Oryzias latipes: one gene and its partners. The protein of the gene in region 1 interacts with the protein of each later gene in a pairwise test. Links are inferred from orthologs where the notes say so. Each region holds a gene or a part of one and is shown on either strand. Other genes may lie near its edges.

Region 1 (5,164 bases):
GGTTTGCTGCGGTGAATTTCGGAGTGGGACTTTAAAGGCCAAGAGAGGTGCAGACATATGTCTTTGCTCACCTTGGATATTATGACTACAGATGTGTCTGGTAATAAAGGCATCTCAATGGAATTTCTGCAAAGTATTTCTCAAATTATGTTGTTTCCCTTTCGGCTTTTCCCATCAGGGGTCGCCACAGCGAACGAGTCGCATGGTAAACTTGGCAATGTTTTACGCCGGATGCCCTTCCTGACGCAACCCTCTCAAGGCAACCGGGCTTGGGACCGGCACGGAGGTAGAGAAGGGAACAGGGAGCAGCCCGGATTTGAACCTGGGTTTCACGGACGGAAGGCGCCGCAAACCAGTATATACTGTACAGTATTAAATTCTCTGCATTGAAATTGGTAAAGAGACATAACATCTTTGAATCTACTACCTTTAACTGCAAAAGAGCCATTTGGGCCTGTTTCTTACTGATCAATTCCTAGTGGAAACGGCAACGTCTTATTTTACCCTTTCAAATTTGACAGAAGGGCCAGACCAGGAACAGATCTGTGGCTCGTTTTGCTGATCCACCTGATAAGAAAGAAAAAATGAACTGGAAAAACCTGCTTTAATATTGATTGACATCAAATGTATATATTTTAAAACAGGACATTTTGGAATTTCAAAACTGTGATTTATTTTTCTCAATTTACTGCCAGTCTCACTGATGGGTTGATGTCCCTCAGGAAAAAACACAAACTGAGGGGAAAAAAAGCTGTGTTCGTGTGCTGTTAGTACGATCGGACTGTCCTACAAGGAAAACACACATGAACGTCAGAAAAACAACAAATCTTCCAACTTCACCTGAATGCAAAATAACTTTTATGCACCTAAACAAAGGTACATGTATTTGTAGTGCACCATCTTGGGACTCACCAGAAAATAAAACATTAATCTTTCTGGCGAGCCGGATTTAATAGTTTCATGGCTGCATGTGAAACCCTTGGGGTGTAGTTTGCTCACCTCTGCTTTAGGAAAATGTGATAGTATGTATTTATTGTTTATTTAAAAACTAGCATTTTCTCTAGTGTGAAATTGCATTTTTACTATTGACAGAAGCTGCTTTCAAAATAAAAGACGCAAACAGGATCTTCTCAGTGCAGTTCGTGTACTTCCATGAAAGGTTTTTCTCCAAGGAATCTGAGGTCGGCTTCACAAATACTGCAGACAGTGATTCAAACCTAATCTTTAGCCGCAGATCTTCAGAGGAGCAGCACAGACATCAGTAGCAGACATTGCATTAGGGGCCGATACGTGGCGTTTGCGCTATCTGTGCGGTTTCCCCTGCTGGTCCCACAGCTGCCTCCTTGTCCAAATCTGGATATCTTCTCATTCAGCTGCTTCAAATGCCCCAGCATTCTGTTACATTTGTAGTGAATGGGGGAGGGGGGGGGCATCTAGGGGGGATATTAGGAGCATGTTTTATATGCATGAACGTTTTCTTGCAGCTCCAGCATGGTGTATAGTATATATAGTAACCTGTGGTGGTGGTGTTTACACAATAAGTGGGGGTCCTCGCTCATTCATGAGTGGGCTAACCTGGACATGGGAGCCAGTCCATATGAGTAAATGTTTGATTGACACGAACAATCAACCAATGAATGACGTCGGTAGGCAACTGTCTGGATTTCATTGGCCCCTTCGCTGGACCAGCCCTTATTTGCTAAACCAATTAATGGGATCTGGAAGTGATTGTTGACCGTTCTGACCAATCAGAAGGCTAATAGGGGGCAGGACGGGCGGGGCTTCACTGGGAGGGGGCGGGGCCTTTCAGGTCATTCAGTCCCTTTGCGATTCAGTCAATCGGCGTGTTTGCGGGGATTGGTGGCTGCTGTGAGGAGTTGCCGGGCGGTGGTGCTTTGAAAAACGCCTTTGTGAAGAAGAGACGCCGCTGAGAACCACGCCACCGACCGAAGACACGGCCGCCCCGGTGACGACGCGCGCGAGACTGTTCCGCGCGGAGATTACGCCACACGCACGAGCCCTCAAACGCAGCCAGGCTATCTGACTGTAGCATGCTAGCACTCCCGAAAACAGACGCTAGCCTCCAAGCTAATTACCCATCAGTCATCGTCCTCCGGCTCCTTGGGCATCGTTAGCTCGGTTCTGCTGGTGCCGGCGCCTTTGTTGTCGTCGCGAATTCTCCAGAACCGACCCAAAGAGAGCGCTGTTCTCCCCCCTCAGCTGGCAGTGGCAGTAGTAGTCTGCGTCGCCGCGGTTCAGACATCATCCCTGCCATCGGTCCGGACCCGTCACCTCTCTCTGCCCCTTCTTGTCCTCCACCCGGAACACTGGAAGTCCACAAGCGGCCGGATAGCGGCGAGGGGCCGGCGAAGCTGGGGGCGGGAACGTTACCGGACTCGCAGCCGCAGGGAGCCGTTACGCCAACGGACGACAAGCAGCAGCACAGCCGCGCGGACTCACCGGCGACGGGGATGGACGGGCTGGCCGTGGAGGTTCGCGGCTCCAACGGGGCCTTCTACAAGGTAAGCGGGGTTTCTACCGCCCGCCTCAAAGTCCGGCTTGGCCAGAACCGGCTTCGGAGAGCCAGAATAATTGGGGCCCAGCTGAGCCCGAGTCAGTTAGCTGCGGGTTTGGAGCGGTTCGACCGGGTCGGGTTAGCTAGCTTTGGTTAGCGGGGTGAAGCTAGGTCCTCCTACTCGTCGTCTTCACGCGTGGCCCGTTTGGGTCACGTTGGCGGGACAGTTCGGTTGAATTCGGGGTGTTTGGTGGGAGGAAGGCTCGGTCCTGTGAACGGGGTGGGTTTCGATGATCCAGACAGCTGTCGTGAGGTCGGTGAGGTGATGCTCCGTGAAGAAGCGGAGTGACCTCACCGCCACCATCATCATCATCATCATCATCAGTCCTGCTTTGGGCTGCTGATGCCTCACATGAGGAAGGGCGACGGTTTCTGTTTCAGTTCTGGCTGATCTTACTGAGAAACCAAACCTAAGGCTTCCCCCACCCTCTGTGCTTCCACTGAGGGGGGGTTATTATTGTTATTATTCTATTTATTTCAATGGAAACGAGTAGACTCCTCATCTGCTTCCACACATCTGAACCGGTTTGTCCCACAGGCAGACATGGGTCTCCAGTGGTCTGGACTTTGGTAACTCGGGGGTTCCATGTGCTCCATCTACCCCCCTCCCCCTGGGTTCAGTGATGGTCCTAAATTTACTCCTGTGCAGCTTCACCTGTTGTGTGTCTTACTGGTTGTCAGTGCGCCGTTGGCATGAATGACGGTTTTCCACTTTAGCGTGAGGCTCTGACCGCCACAGAACTGCCTCATTATTCGCATTTTAAACAGCAATTAATCCAAGCATTGACCTCCAAACAAAAGGTATTAATCGGAGATGCAACCATTCACTTTCCCCACGTCTCTGTTCGCGTGTTACAAATAGGGCTGTAAGAATATCACTTGTGGTTCCGGTTTATTCTTGATATCTTTTCATTCTGATTCTCTGACCTGAAGTGGATCCAGATCCTCTTGATCCAAACTTCCAGCAGTGAGACTCAGACAGAAATTCCTGCTACTGAACAGTTTTCCAGATTCTTGGATTTCTTCCAGATCATCAAGTTAAATGAAATCTGTGTCCAAACCAACAAGTAAACTAGAATGAATGTCAAATCCATTCACATGTTAGTTTCCTAAACTTCAGCGCTGTTGTGTTTCCACATCCAGAGAATCCAAAGGGAACATTCTAGCACAGGGGTGGGCAAACTCCGGCCCGGGGGGCCACACGTTAAAGGATCTGATCCGGCCCGCCAAACTGGGAAAAGTTAAATTGATCATCCTTACAAAGGTTTTATTTTTCCTGTAATTCATAAATGGTGCTCTGCAGATAAAGTGAGCTTTACTTTGGTGTAGAAAGTAATTCAGCACTCGTGTTGGAAGATCTGTTGTTTTTCAGATGTTTCTGACAATTCCAACCGCACCTGAATGCAGCATTTCTCTAATTTGGCTTATTTCCCCCCTGAGGGACATCAACCCATTGGCTCTAAAATGAGAACAAAATCATCCAAATATGTTGCGTTTTAAAATAAAATCATTTTTTATTAGTTCAAGCATGTTTTCATCCAGATTCCGTGTTATTTCTTTCTCTGACGAGGTGGACGACACGCCACGCATCAGCTGCTGGTCCGGCCCTCGGCGGCCCACGAGTCCCCGCCGTTGTTTAGCTCACTGGATGGTCACATGACTATATTCAAAGTGTTTCCACACGTTGGACTGGAATGATAGACTGATCCGTGTTTGCTGATGTCATCCCATGTGTTGTCAGCGGTGATTGGTCGTTTTCAATCCAAATGGTATTTTCCAATATCAACATAAGCGATTTATTTCAATGATTTTTACGACTTTGATTCGATGAACAACTTTCCTCAGGCGGATCCATCAGGTTGGATCGTAGGAACAGAAATCCGTTCATGGTTTCACCCCCACAAGAGTAAACCAACCTAAATGCTAGAACAGACTGAGCATCAATGAGTGTAGCTTAATGTCAGGATTGAGTTGAGGGTTAAATTCCCTTTTGCCTGCAGTGACTGCAAGGCACCAGGCGTGGCAAACAAAGGACCTCGGTACCGGTGTCATTCCTGAAAACATCTGGAGAACCTTCAGCCATTGTTGTTGTATTTAGTTGTTTTTTTGTAGATTTTCTATAAAATTGACAAAAATAACTACATTTGACTCTGGATAGTTAAATCAACCCCTTTTTCCATTCTTATTTAATTGGTCTGGGACTCTTGCAGCCCTTTGGGTCCACAGTCAGACCCTGTTCTGATTGAATGGGCCTCCACTTGTGTTTGGGAATCTGTCGGTCCTCCACTCCGACACATCCACGCCTTTTCAGTCACTCCTGCAGACGCGGTTCATGCATGACAGCGAGGCCTTTGGTGAAATCTGCAGCTAAACTGTGATGACTCGAGGTGTAAGAAGCCACACGTGTGACAAACCAGATGTGGATCAGGCGCCACGCCCAGCTCATCCAACGTGCACGCAGTTACAGTGTCACGTTCAGCTTTCTGTGCAGGTGTTTTTCCTGAGCTGAGCCCTTCGCTGAACCCGGCCCAGCATTTCCAGCCGCCTGACCCGTCTGGTTCCTAAAGGGCAGCTTTTGCCGGGCTGAGG
Region 2 (5,151 bases), on another chromosome or scaffold:
GCAAGCTGTGATAGTCCAACATGTTCCCTTTTCTCTTGATTTGTATCCACTGTGTGTGTTTGTACTGCTTCTGTAAAGACTCATATGTGTTTTAATCAGAACATTTATGTAGTTTTACCTGCAAAGTCTAGATTCAGTTAAAGTATCAAACACGTGGTTTCCCTTGTTTATGATCAAACAACCACAATACTAAGCTATCCTATAGAACCTATATTAATGATAACCGATCAATAATATTTATATATGCTGACACTCACATAGGAATCAAGCCAGTTATTAAACGATTATTGGGCCTTTTTCTACATTACTGCTTCACTTTTGCTGTGTTGTATCCTTTTTGAATTACTAATGTGTGCTTTTATGTGTACTTTGTAGGTTATGTTTAGGGTCATCTGGATTTTAACACCCAAATGTTTTTTAACTTGTTAAAAAAAAACTTAAAATCCCACTCCGATAATCCTTTGATCTAAATTCAAAGCGTTCCCAGTGTTTTTAATTAGGGTGATCCCGTTTTTTGCCTAAATCACAAGTTCTGTTTCCTAGAACATAGTTTCTGCAGGAGTTTTATCGGGAATTCACCTCTAAGTTATAGACTGGACCGTTGGTGCAATGTGAGCCTTCCCACACTCCCATCATCCATCTGTTTACACTCTGTCACAGCCCCTCACACCTCCAACTGCTGTGACCAAAATGGCGAGCAAATTTGGAGCTATCCAGCCACAAACAAAGATGTACATGCATCTAGTCATTTACAAGTGGATGTATCAGAATGGAGCAGGGCCGGGAATTTGCCAACTACCTACATCACTGCTACAAGCTTTTCCAACAAGATTTTTTTCGTCTGCTCCTAATTCACAATTTAACTTTTTTTTAAATACTCAGAATCACAAATTTTAAGCGTAATTTTCTTTATATAGAGTGAAGACCGAAAGTTTGGACACACTTTGTGTGTACAGTCCAAACCTTTGGTCTACATCCTCCATCATGAGAAAAATGCTACCAGAAAATTTTAAAAACACCCAAAATGTAATTTTCATTGAAGTGGGTAATAATTGTTTATATTTTGCGCAAATATACTGGATTCCTTTTATGTTTCACGAAGCTAAATAAACATCAATATGTTACAATAATGAAGAGTGTAATCAGAATAAAATAATCTATTCTGTTATGATTTCAAAATAACATGGCCATGCTTGTTCCTGTATTTTGTTACGTTTCTCAAAGAAGAGCAGCTTATCCTGAACTGTGACTTATTTATAATTTTTGTTCCTTCTTTATCGTCCACTTTTTGGCTGCTGCAGCTTGTACTCCAGAACAATTTGTAGCCTGAAAAATACACTATATTTAAACCAAATTAGAACTGTATTTTTGTACAATAAGCAAAGAGTTTCTTTCTTTGTCAGGAGGTGCTAAGGACTAGTGGTCTTAAAACTCAGCAATTAAAGCACCACATTATTATGCTGCGTCTATTAGCAGGAACAGTCATGTTAATTTTTAATGTGAAATCATGGAAAACATACAAATGAGTGGGGAAGTGATTCACAGGAGCATCACAACCATTCAACACACTTATTTCCAAGCGTTATGTGATGTCTAACAACAATTTAAAACATCTAAAAAGTAAATAAATGACTAGTTGGTTTTTAAGTGGGGCAGCAGAGTTTTAACTGTAAAGGAGCAGTGTTTACTTAATGGTGCGTTAATCCCCCAAACACGCCTCAACAAATAATAATGGCACCTTCCAAAGAAAGAGCGACAAGAATGGCCTGTTCCGACTTAGAAAAAAAAAACACGTTTTACTTTAAAACTCTTGTTCGCTCTGGGTTAACGCATTTAAAGCTAAAAATAAAAGTTTTCCAAGTTTGGTCACACATAAAGGGGGGGGGGGTGATACCAATCAAGCTGGTGTTCGTGACTTTTCCACATTCTCTGATCAACAGTTAAGGAAACGCGTCTGTCGTGGAAAAGCGCTCGCGCCCGCCTGCTGCTGGGAACTTTCCTTTCATCTTCCGGTACTTGTTGGGACTCCTGCGGCGCCGCGCGCACCGAACTCCCTGCTCCCGGAGGCGAGGAGACAACCTGGCTGGAAGGGGGTATGGTTGTAGAAGAAGAGGAGGAGCGCTGTGCTGTAGTTTGTGGTAGCTCCACGACACTTGAGTGCAGGATTAGCATGTGCGCCGCTGTTTGCTGCGGTTTCTGTCGGTCGCGGTGAAGCAGAGCCGTCGAGCTTCTTCTTCACGCACGCAGGTGTGCGTTTCCTCTCAATTAGCCTGAGTGTGGACTCATTGACGCGGTGGCAGTCCGCAGAGGTCCTTCACTTCAGCGACCGCCCTGAAGAACAACGTAGGTTATCAAGTATTTTAAATGTTTTATCGACGTTTACCCTATTTAGCCTCAGCAACTCGTTGAAAATCACATCAAACGATGCTTTTTTTTCATTAGTCGAAATATCAATTCTGTTTTAATTTGTGATTATTATCAAAACTAATTATTATTTAGAAGGTAGCCATTCGCAAACATTTGTCATTTTCAGTTGAAAAATAAAATATGGCCTCAATAATGTGTTTTTAAAAACTCGTTTGAATTTTAGTGTTATTTCCTGTTCAATTGTAAGTTGCCCTCCTCCTCCTGCTGTCCTGCTGGTACATTATTATTTTTAGTGAGGCTCAGGCATTCAGAAAACGAGGAAAAAGCCTTTCCAGTCTGTGTCTTTGCCTATTCACTGTAAATTAGTTTATACATCTATATGAGTTTTAACTGACACCATAACAGATGATCACTGTCAGATGAAGATTAAATAAATAAACTGCTGAACTCCACCCTGTCATCTCTCTGCTGGAGGGTGGGAACCAGGCATGACATTCATGTTGTTTTACCATGGTTGACTTTAAACGACCTCACTCCCCGTCAGAGGCACTCTGGTGGATTTTTAGACGCCCCTACATGCTGGATCTGTATTCCCACCCATCAGGGAATAGTTGATAGTTTGCTTTACAGCTGCAGATTTATGTCTCATGTCATGTGAAAATGTTAATTTCTTGGCAAACGTATTTTAACCTTTAAAGGAGGTCTACTTGAATATGTGACTTTATATTTTTTGGGTTTGTTCTGCAAGGCTAAACACAGATTCAGCTTTTGCTGTCTTCCCAAACTGTGGCTTCCTCTTCATGGATCTTGTCTCAGTGGAACGGCTTTAGCCTTAAACCAGTTTATCCACACGGTTCCTAATTGAAATCGCCATGGCTCTGGAAATGATCAATCTGAGCTTCTTGTCCGACTTGGAGCGGGAGAAGATCCTGGAAGTGCTGAAACGGGACGAGGAGCTGAGGCTCACGGAGGAGCGGCGTGTACGGTAAGAAAACAGAAACTCTTATTCGTTTTTACAGTTTCTATAATCTGAAACATTTAACACATGTAAATATTTTAAGGCATGACTAGGACTGAGCATCACTGCCAAAAATACTGAACTGATTTGACATCGCTTCGATAACTTTTGACTTGATTTTGAATTTGATGCGATTTGATTTAATACTTATTAATCAAATTTCTATATAACCCAATTTTGTTTAGTTTTTAAAAAGTTTTCACACAACAACTGATATAAACTAAACAAATATGGAACTTTTATTACTAAAAATTCTCACATTTAAAACGTTTGAAAGCACTTTTTTGTTAGAAAAACAAGTGTAAGAAATTATTAGAAGACCCACTCTAATGGAAATAGATTAATGAACATCTTCATTTTTGTTTTTTTTACATTTTCTTGGAGCATTGTTCTTATGATGGAGGCATATGTGAAGGAAATTAGGATTAAAGTTTCTTTATTCAAATCAATGTAATTCAGGAGCAGAAGAACAAACACTGTTTGAAAGAGCTTGTCATTGCAGCTCTCCTCCGCTCCATTCCAGTGCATCCACTTGTAGACAATTATATCCATTAACGTCTTTTCGTAGCACCAGTAAAGTTAGGTTGAGGTTGTGAAGGGCTGTAAGCCAGTGGGAGAGAGTGTGAACAGAAGAGGTGATGGGAAATGAGTGAAGGCTTACTATCCACCAAGAGTCTAACCCACAACTCAGAGGTGAATTTCTAATAAACTACTGCCGCGCTGCAGAAAAAATGTCCTATAAAAAGTCTTTTTTTTAGATTGTTTTATCTAAAAATATAAATAATATTAATTATAAGACCTCTGGGAACACTTTTACAATAGATCAAAAGATGATTGGAGGGGAACTTTAACTGAAAACTTTTTTCTAAAGTAAAAAAATAAGATCAATTTGGTGTTAAGAGATACTTTTTTTTAACCCTTCAGCTCTTGGATTTCCTAGAGAATTTGGATTTTATGAAGTTATTTATTTAAATAATAACACTGACATGTTTATTGTTTCATCTATGCCAGAAAGTGTAGTAAATGTACTTGGAAAGCGTCTTCTTCATCCTGGATAAATGGCTTTAGCTCTTTGCTGATTTTAGGATAATTCTTTTAAAGACATTGGCATGATTGATGCTTGTTTGAATTAATTGTTCCTGAGCAGGTTCTCCTGCATTTTAGTTAGTATGGTGTTTCTTCAAGTAACCTGTTGCTTTATTATTCAAAGATTTAAGACTTCCAGGTTTTTACCACTATCAGGATCTGGGATTTAACCAAACTATCTCCAGATCTCAGCCCAGTTTTCCAGCTACAATATGATTCACTATGTCGTACCAGGGTATATCACCATGGTAACTTCTGCTGCACACATACTCACCTCCACAGCGGATCTGGGCTTGTCCAGAGTGAAGAAAGAAGCACATTTAAATTTAGAAATGCCTTCTTCTTAGCTTCTCCTCCGGGCTACAGATGTAGAAACTATCTGGGATTTATCTGGATTATATTTTGAAATTTTTCAATTTTTTTAAGAAATCGTTTCTCTGGTTTCAAATATCTTTTTTGTCATTAAATAAAACATTGAAGCCCTTTTTTTAAAACCCATAAAAGTTTTTAGATGTGCTTTGAGTGAGTCTTGGAGCAGTAGAATTTATATTTTTAAAGACCCACTGCGATCATCTTTTGATCCATTGTAAAAGCGTTTGTGAATTTGCCTGAGAGGTGTGGGTGGGACCATTGATGCAGAGTTACCCCCGCCCCCTTCCCATCACCTATAACTGAGCTGT
Region 3 (5,134 bases), on another chromosome or scaffold:
AAAGGCTTTCACGTTAGTCCCATCAGGAGCACTAAATGACCCTAATTTCTGTGAAAAGAACGGACATAAGAAGTCATGCAGCTGAGAACCCGGGTTTATCTGCGCTGCCAGGGTCGGTCCTTTATCAGCCCTCCACTCGTTTATCAGGAGCGCCTCAAGGACAAGCAGCGAGACTGGCCACCCTCTTGCTCAAGCACACGTTTGTGTTTTGCCTTTCTCCGTTCTCGGCTGTTTTTTAGAGAAAGATCCGTTTGTGTGACAAAGGCAGCCACACCCTCTCCTTATCAGGTTTCCCAAGGAGATCCAGCTCCTCCTTTTCTGTCCTTCACACTGGCAGCCGCAAAACTCATTCCTCAAGTCATAAAATATATAAGAATTTCCCAGCACAAACGTCCCATCGATGAGACCAGACGGGTTCTCAGTTCTTGATGTATACACGAACCATAAGTGTTTTCCTGCTGCTCTTATTGTTGAGCGCCACAACAGCTGGTGAGCAATGTACGCAAGCTGGGACACGTTCAGCGCCAGGCTTTGTGTTTCATCAAATGAAACCGACAGGAGGTCTAAACAGAAATTCATACACCCACAACATGTTTTACAACGTCTGTTCTCTGAAGAGAAATTAGGGGAATTAAGAAAAATCAGCACAACATCATCATGAAGGATGAAAAAATCTGTTCTAAGCAAAGGGTTTTACACCCAGAGGAGACCTTAAATCCATACAAATACAGGATTCCTGAATGTATGCTTCTGAGGACATTTAAAGGCATTGTAGCAACAGTCAAGGGAGATAAAAACAGATTCTTGTTCAATCATAGAGATTAAACACAGAAAAGCATCATGAAAAATTGCAAGTTATCTGAAAGGCAGTGCAACTTATCCATAGAAGATAAACCTTCTGCTGTCCCGGAGCTTTTGTCCGTGTGGACGACAACACATCAACACTGGAATGGTAAACAAAAAGCATTAAGAAAACACCATACAAAAGATGAACAGACCATGAAACCGCGAAACAGCTAACCGGTTCAAACTGTCATGTACGCCGATGGAGCATTTTTCTGCTTCGGGGTCACAGAAGCTGGGAATTTGACACCAGGTTAGTCAATTATTAACTCCTCTGCTCCCGTCAGATGTGAGGCCCTTTGTCACAGACAGCTAAGGTTTGGTCAAAACTGGGATCATGTAACAAAAACAATGTTGTTGTGTCACATGACCCAGCAGGAAAACCCCAACAGAAGAGCGCCAACAGCCTCCCAGATACAAGCCTGAGCTGAACCCAACGACCTGAAGCAAACCTCCTATAACCTCTGCAGAGCATGCAACATGCTGACGTCAACAAACTGTTTGAGCTGGTATTCTAGCACTACAAACAACTCAGTTATTGGCTGTAAATAGTTATTTGACAGATTCCTTAAAAATCAAAATAAGACGAGAAGATGATGGCTTTAGCCAGTAAAGCTTTAGGCAGCTGTGGCTTGGAGGTAGGTACAGAAGTCATTATTTCCCTGCTTTTGAGGTGCCCTTGGGCAAGACACCCAACCCTTAGCCATGCTTGCCGTGGATGTGAGACTGTGGGTTTTGTGTGAGTGACTGGATGACAAACAAAGAGCTTGGTGAGTGACGCCTGCTCTCCACACCTGACCCACATAGTCTGATTCTGATGGTCAAGCTGGGAGGTCTGTGGATTTTTGAACCCACAGTCTCTGCATCTCAGGGTGGCCACTCTACCATTAGCCACTCTGTGTTTTATTGTCTGTTGCTTCTCTTGGCTAAAATACTCTAAGAGATGTCGGCGTTTTTTTTCCGCCTGTTAAACTGATGATAAATAAGACATGGTGAATATTTGCAAATGATTAGTACTTTGTTGAAACATTGCATGTTTCTATTTTTTTCTACTTATAATCTCATCTATGTTAATGTTTTTGTTAGTTGTGTCAGGGTAGTGTGTGTGTGTTTTCTATTTTTTTTTAATGCTTTGTTTGCCTTTAGTTTTTAATTTTGGCAGAGTCTTTTATTTTGTAAAGTACTTTGTGTCACTCTGAAATCTGTTTTGTCAATAAAGTTTGATTTGATTCGGTTAGCCGGCAAAAATCCGTTTTGTGGCTCAGCCACAAGACAATTTCTATTTTACATCTTTTTAACTCACCCTATAATCAAACCCTTAACAACTTAACAAAAGCCTATATTTTTTAGGACTTTAACCCAAAATTTCAGGTTTAAATTAGTTTATTTTACTGTAATTGCCATGTTAATTGAATGGGCGGACGCTAGCACGAAATGCACTTTTATTTACACCTTTTTCAATAGTCAAAATGTATTACTAATGTTGTCAAACTAATCAGACTGATGAACTTTTTACATGTACCAACAACGACGCCGGGTGAGTAATGACTTTAAATTAAGTTTTTCTGTAAACCTCTTTGGCCTCCATCTCTGGACAAAGATGGCGTTCATTACCAGTTCAATCTCTTTAAATATTATTGAAGCAGATAACTTAAAAAAACATTTTATTTTGCTCTACGGTGACGTGATAAGTGGTCAGAGAAGAGACAGTTACTAACTAGGCGGGATGGCACAGAAAAGCCCAGGGAGCATCCTGAGTGAGGAAAATGTAAACATGGAGCACTTTCCCGGCTGTCTGTCAGCCGCGCTCAGTGCAGTCTGGGAAAGCATATGGCGGGTGTGACCGTTGACACCCCCTCCACGAACGGCAGAAACCGCAGAGAGCAGAGATGGAGGGGCTCACATCTCAAAACCCATTCAATCATGGGGGGAAAAATAAAATAAAAACGTCCGAAGGAAAATGTGTAGAATGCGTTTATGAGATTTGTTCCTTTGACAGATCACAGGTTTTAGGTGTTTAATGGCTCATCGAGAGACTTAAACTTTAACAGCATCGGCAGGAAACTCGCTACGCAAACACAGTTTTATTTCAAACTGATATAAAGGTGAGGAAACCAACCTTCCGGGAACCTTTGGGTTTCTCCTCCAGAAATTGATCCTGTTGTCGGTGGCCATACTCGCACCCCCTCCCCTTTGCCTTCAGACCGGCTCCGGGCGCGACGGAACCATGGTTGTTCCGCCTCCGTGTCTCCCAGAAAAAGAAGGACCGCGGGCCCCGTTTAGCTCGCTTCGGAGAGCCGAACGGTCGATGGGCAGAAACGAAAAAGCTGCCGAGGCTACGATGAGGGAAACTGCGTCCTGTACGGCGCCATCTTGGAGAGTAACGTTCGGAGCGCGTGATTGGCGGAAGGAACGAACAGGTGCAGGGAAGGCGACCAATCAGAATGGCCGGCGGGGAAGCGACGGCCAGGGATGCTTGCTGACGAGGGGAACGGCCGAAACTTGATGCTGGTAAAGAAAAGTTTATGTTTTTCTGTTGATTTAAACAAAGATGGCGGTGTTTTGCAACATTTAGTGCTTTTGCTCTGTGAGGGGAGACCTGGAGGGAGTTACTGACTACACAGAGTTAAAGGCCGTGCTTACTTCAGGCTGGTGGGAAATTAGTAAAGTTGTCAAAAGGTTGTTAAATGTAGATATTTGATTTACAGCTGTCCTAAACATAGTTAGAAAAATGAAAGGGTTTAGTGGTGACTAGATGAAAGAAAAATATACAGGACAAGCATCTTACCTTCCTATACTTCCATTGTTTTTTAAATGACTGACTAAAATACCAAAATCCAGGCAGGTCTTGGTTCGTCTCTCTCATTAATTTTGAACGCGGTTCCTAAAAAAGGATTAATTATAAACATCCCAACAAACCAGAGATTTTCCAGGCTGACTTAACATTCCTAGAAGTTTCTTTGTTTCACTTCTTTGTTTAGGAAGCAGTACATTCAATTATTGTTTGTTTGTAATCAAAAATCTAATAGAATCATCACAGATCTGACTTTTTAAACTTAAAAAGCCTAATCTTAGATAATCTAGTATTTGCAGATTAAATGCGCTCTTATCTTTTGCATTATGCCGGGCAATTGTACAGTCAGTTCTGGTGCGTATTTTGTGAAAGGAAATCAAATCAGTTTTCCGGAATACTGTCTGCTTTTCACACGTAAAAGTAATCAATAATGATGAAAAAGTACCAAATTCACTGATAATTCATTTAAAATTTACATTGTAAAGTAAATGTGATAATAGAAACAAGCTTGTTCATTTTATTTCACTTGAATTCAAACATTTCACAAGCTAGATGAAGTCTAAAAAAGTTAAATGCAACTTATAGGAAACATTATATGAGGCAGATAGAGCTGTCTTTCTTAGCATATATAAGAAAAACTGGCTCAGCTAACTTTTGGAGCAGCGTAATACTAATGAGTCATTCAAGCGTCAGTTTCAGGGGACTCTGACATAACAGACCCACATTAGAGCGGATTATCTGCCTGGTTTTGTCTCCACCCAACCTACTACTGTTGGATCCTGTGTAACGTCATCACAAACACCGTTGTAGCTTAGAAACAGGCAGCTGTCACTCATTTCAAAAGAGGAGCAGCATGACTCATTCATAACATGAACACAAGAGTCGCAATCCATGAGACACACATAGAGACTGCTCTGAAATGTAAACGGCTTGAGTCGCATTGTTGCTCCTATAGGCTGCAAAAAGGTTGAGGCTGTGTTCAAAACTCATCTGCTGGTCTTTGATGGGAGCAAAGCTAAAAAGAGCTTCAGCCATTGGTTCAACACAGATGTTTACCTGCCATGTTAATGAAAGGCAAAGTGGATTCATGATCACAGCAGAAAAATCAAAACATTTCCTCTTTAAAGTCATCACTTCTGTTTTTTTCTTTTTTTAATCTAATGCTGAGTAAGGCTCCTGTTTCAGTTACACCTTCTGTCCACACGGGGTCAGATCAGGCCTCAAGTCAAAAGGAAACCAGTTCAACAACCATCTATTTACAGTAAACGTCAGAATGAGTCACTTTTCTTTTCAGCACATGTTTTTTTCACAACAGTTCTACAGCACCAAGAACACACACACACACACACGTTATTTATGATCCTTTATGGTTAAAAATTAAGCAAATTCCTCCATTTTTCTTTTTATCTTTGTTCAAATGAACCAAGTAGCTTCTAATGAGCGTTTTGGCCTCTCTTTGCTTCAGTCAAATGCAGTCAAATTGGGGTTTTATGCCAC

What was found.
Region 2: the proteins of fragile X mental retardation syndrome-related protein 1 (region 1) and sytl4 interact in binary tests that used the Homo sapiens proteins (3 or more experiments, as listed by UniProt). The two-hybrid records come from large-scale screens. The link is inferred for Oryzias latipes from reciprocal best matches to the Homo sapiens genes FXR2 and SYTL4.
Region 3: the proteins of fragile X mental retardation syndrome-related protein 1 (region 1) and tbc1d22b interact in binary tests that used the Homo sapiens proteins (3 or more experiments, as listed by UniProt). The link is inferred for Oryzias latipes from reciprocal best matches to the Homo sapiens genes FXR2 and TBC1D22B.

What each region holds. Positions count from the first base shown.
Region 1 is NC_019876.2:28,852,271-28,857,434, forward strand, and holds the start of fragile X mental retardation syndrome-related protein 1, read left to right. Parts: upstream 1-1,820; 5' UTR 1,821-2,471; coding exon 2,472-2,522; intron 2,523-5,164. UniProt on the Homo sapiens protein: mRNA-binding protein that acts as a regulator of mRNAs translation and/or stability, and which is required for adult hippocampal neurogenesis. Specifically binds to AU-rich elements (AREs) in the 3'-UTR of target mRNAs.
Region 2 is NC_019868.2:10,075,097-10,080,247, forward strand, and holds the start of sytl4 (synaptotagmin-like protein 4), read left to right. Parts: upstream 1-1,926; 5' UTR 1,927-2,343; intron 2,344-3,115; 5' UTR 3,116-3,239; coding exon 3,240-3,352; intron 3,353-5,151. UniProt on the Homo sapiens protein: Modulates exocytosis of dense-core granules and secretion of hormones in the pancreas and the pituitary. Interacts with vesicles containing negatively charged phospholipids in a Ca(2+)-independent manner.
Region 3 is NC_019865.2:4,890,227-4,895,360, forward strand, and holds the start of tbc1d22b (TBC1 domain family member 22B), read right to left. Parts: upstream 3,226-5,134; 5' UTR 3,019-3,225; coding exon 2,963-3,018; intron 1-2,962. UniProt on the Homo sapiens protein: May act as a GTPase-activating protein for Rab family protein(s).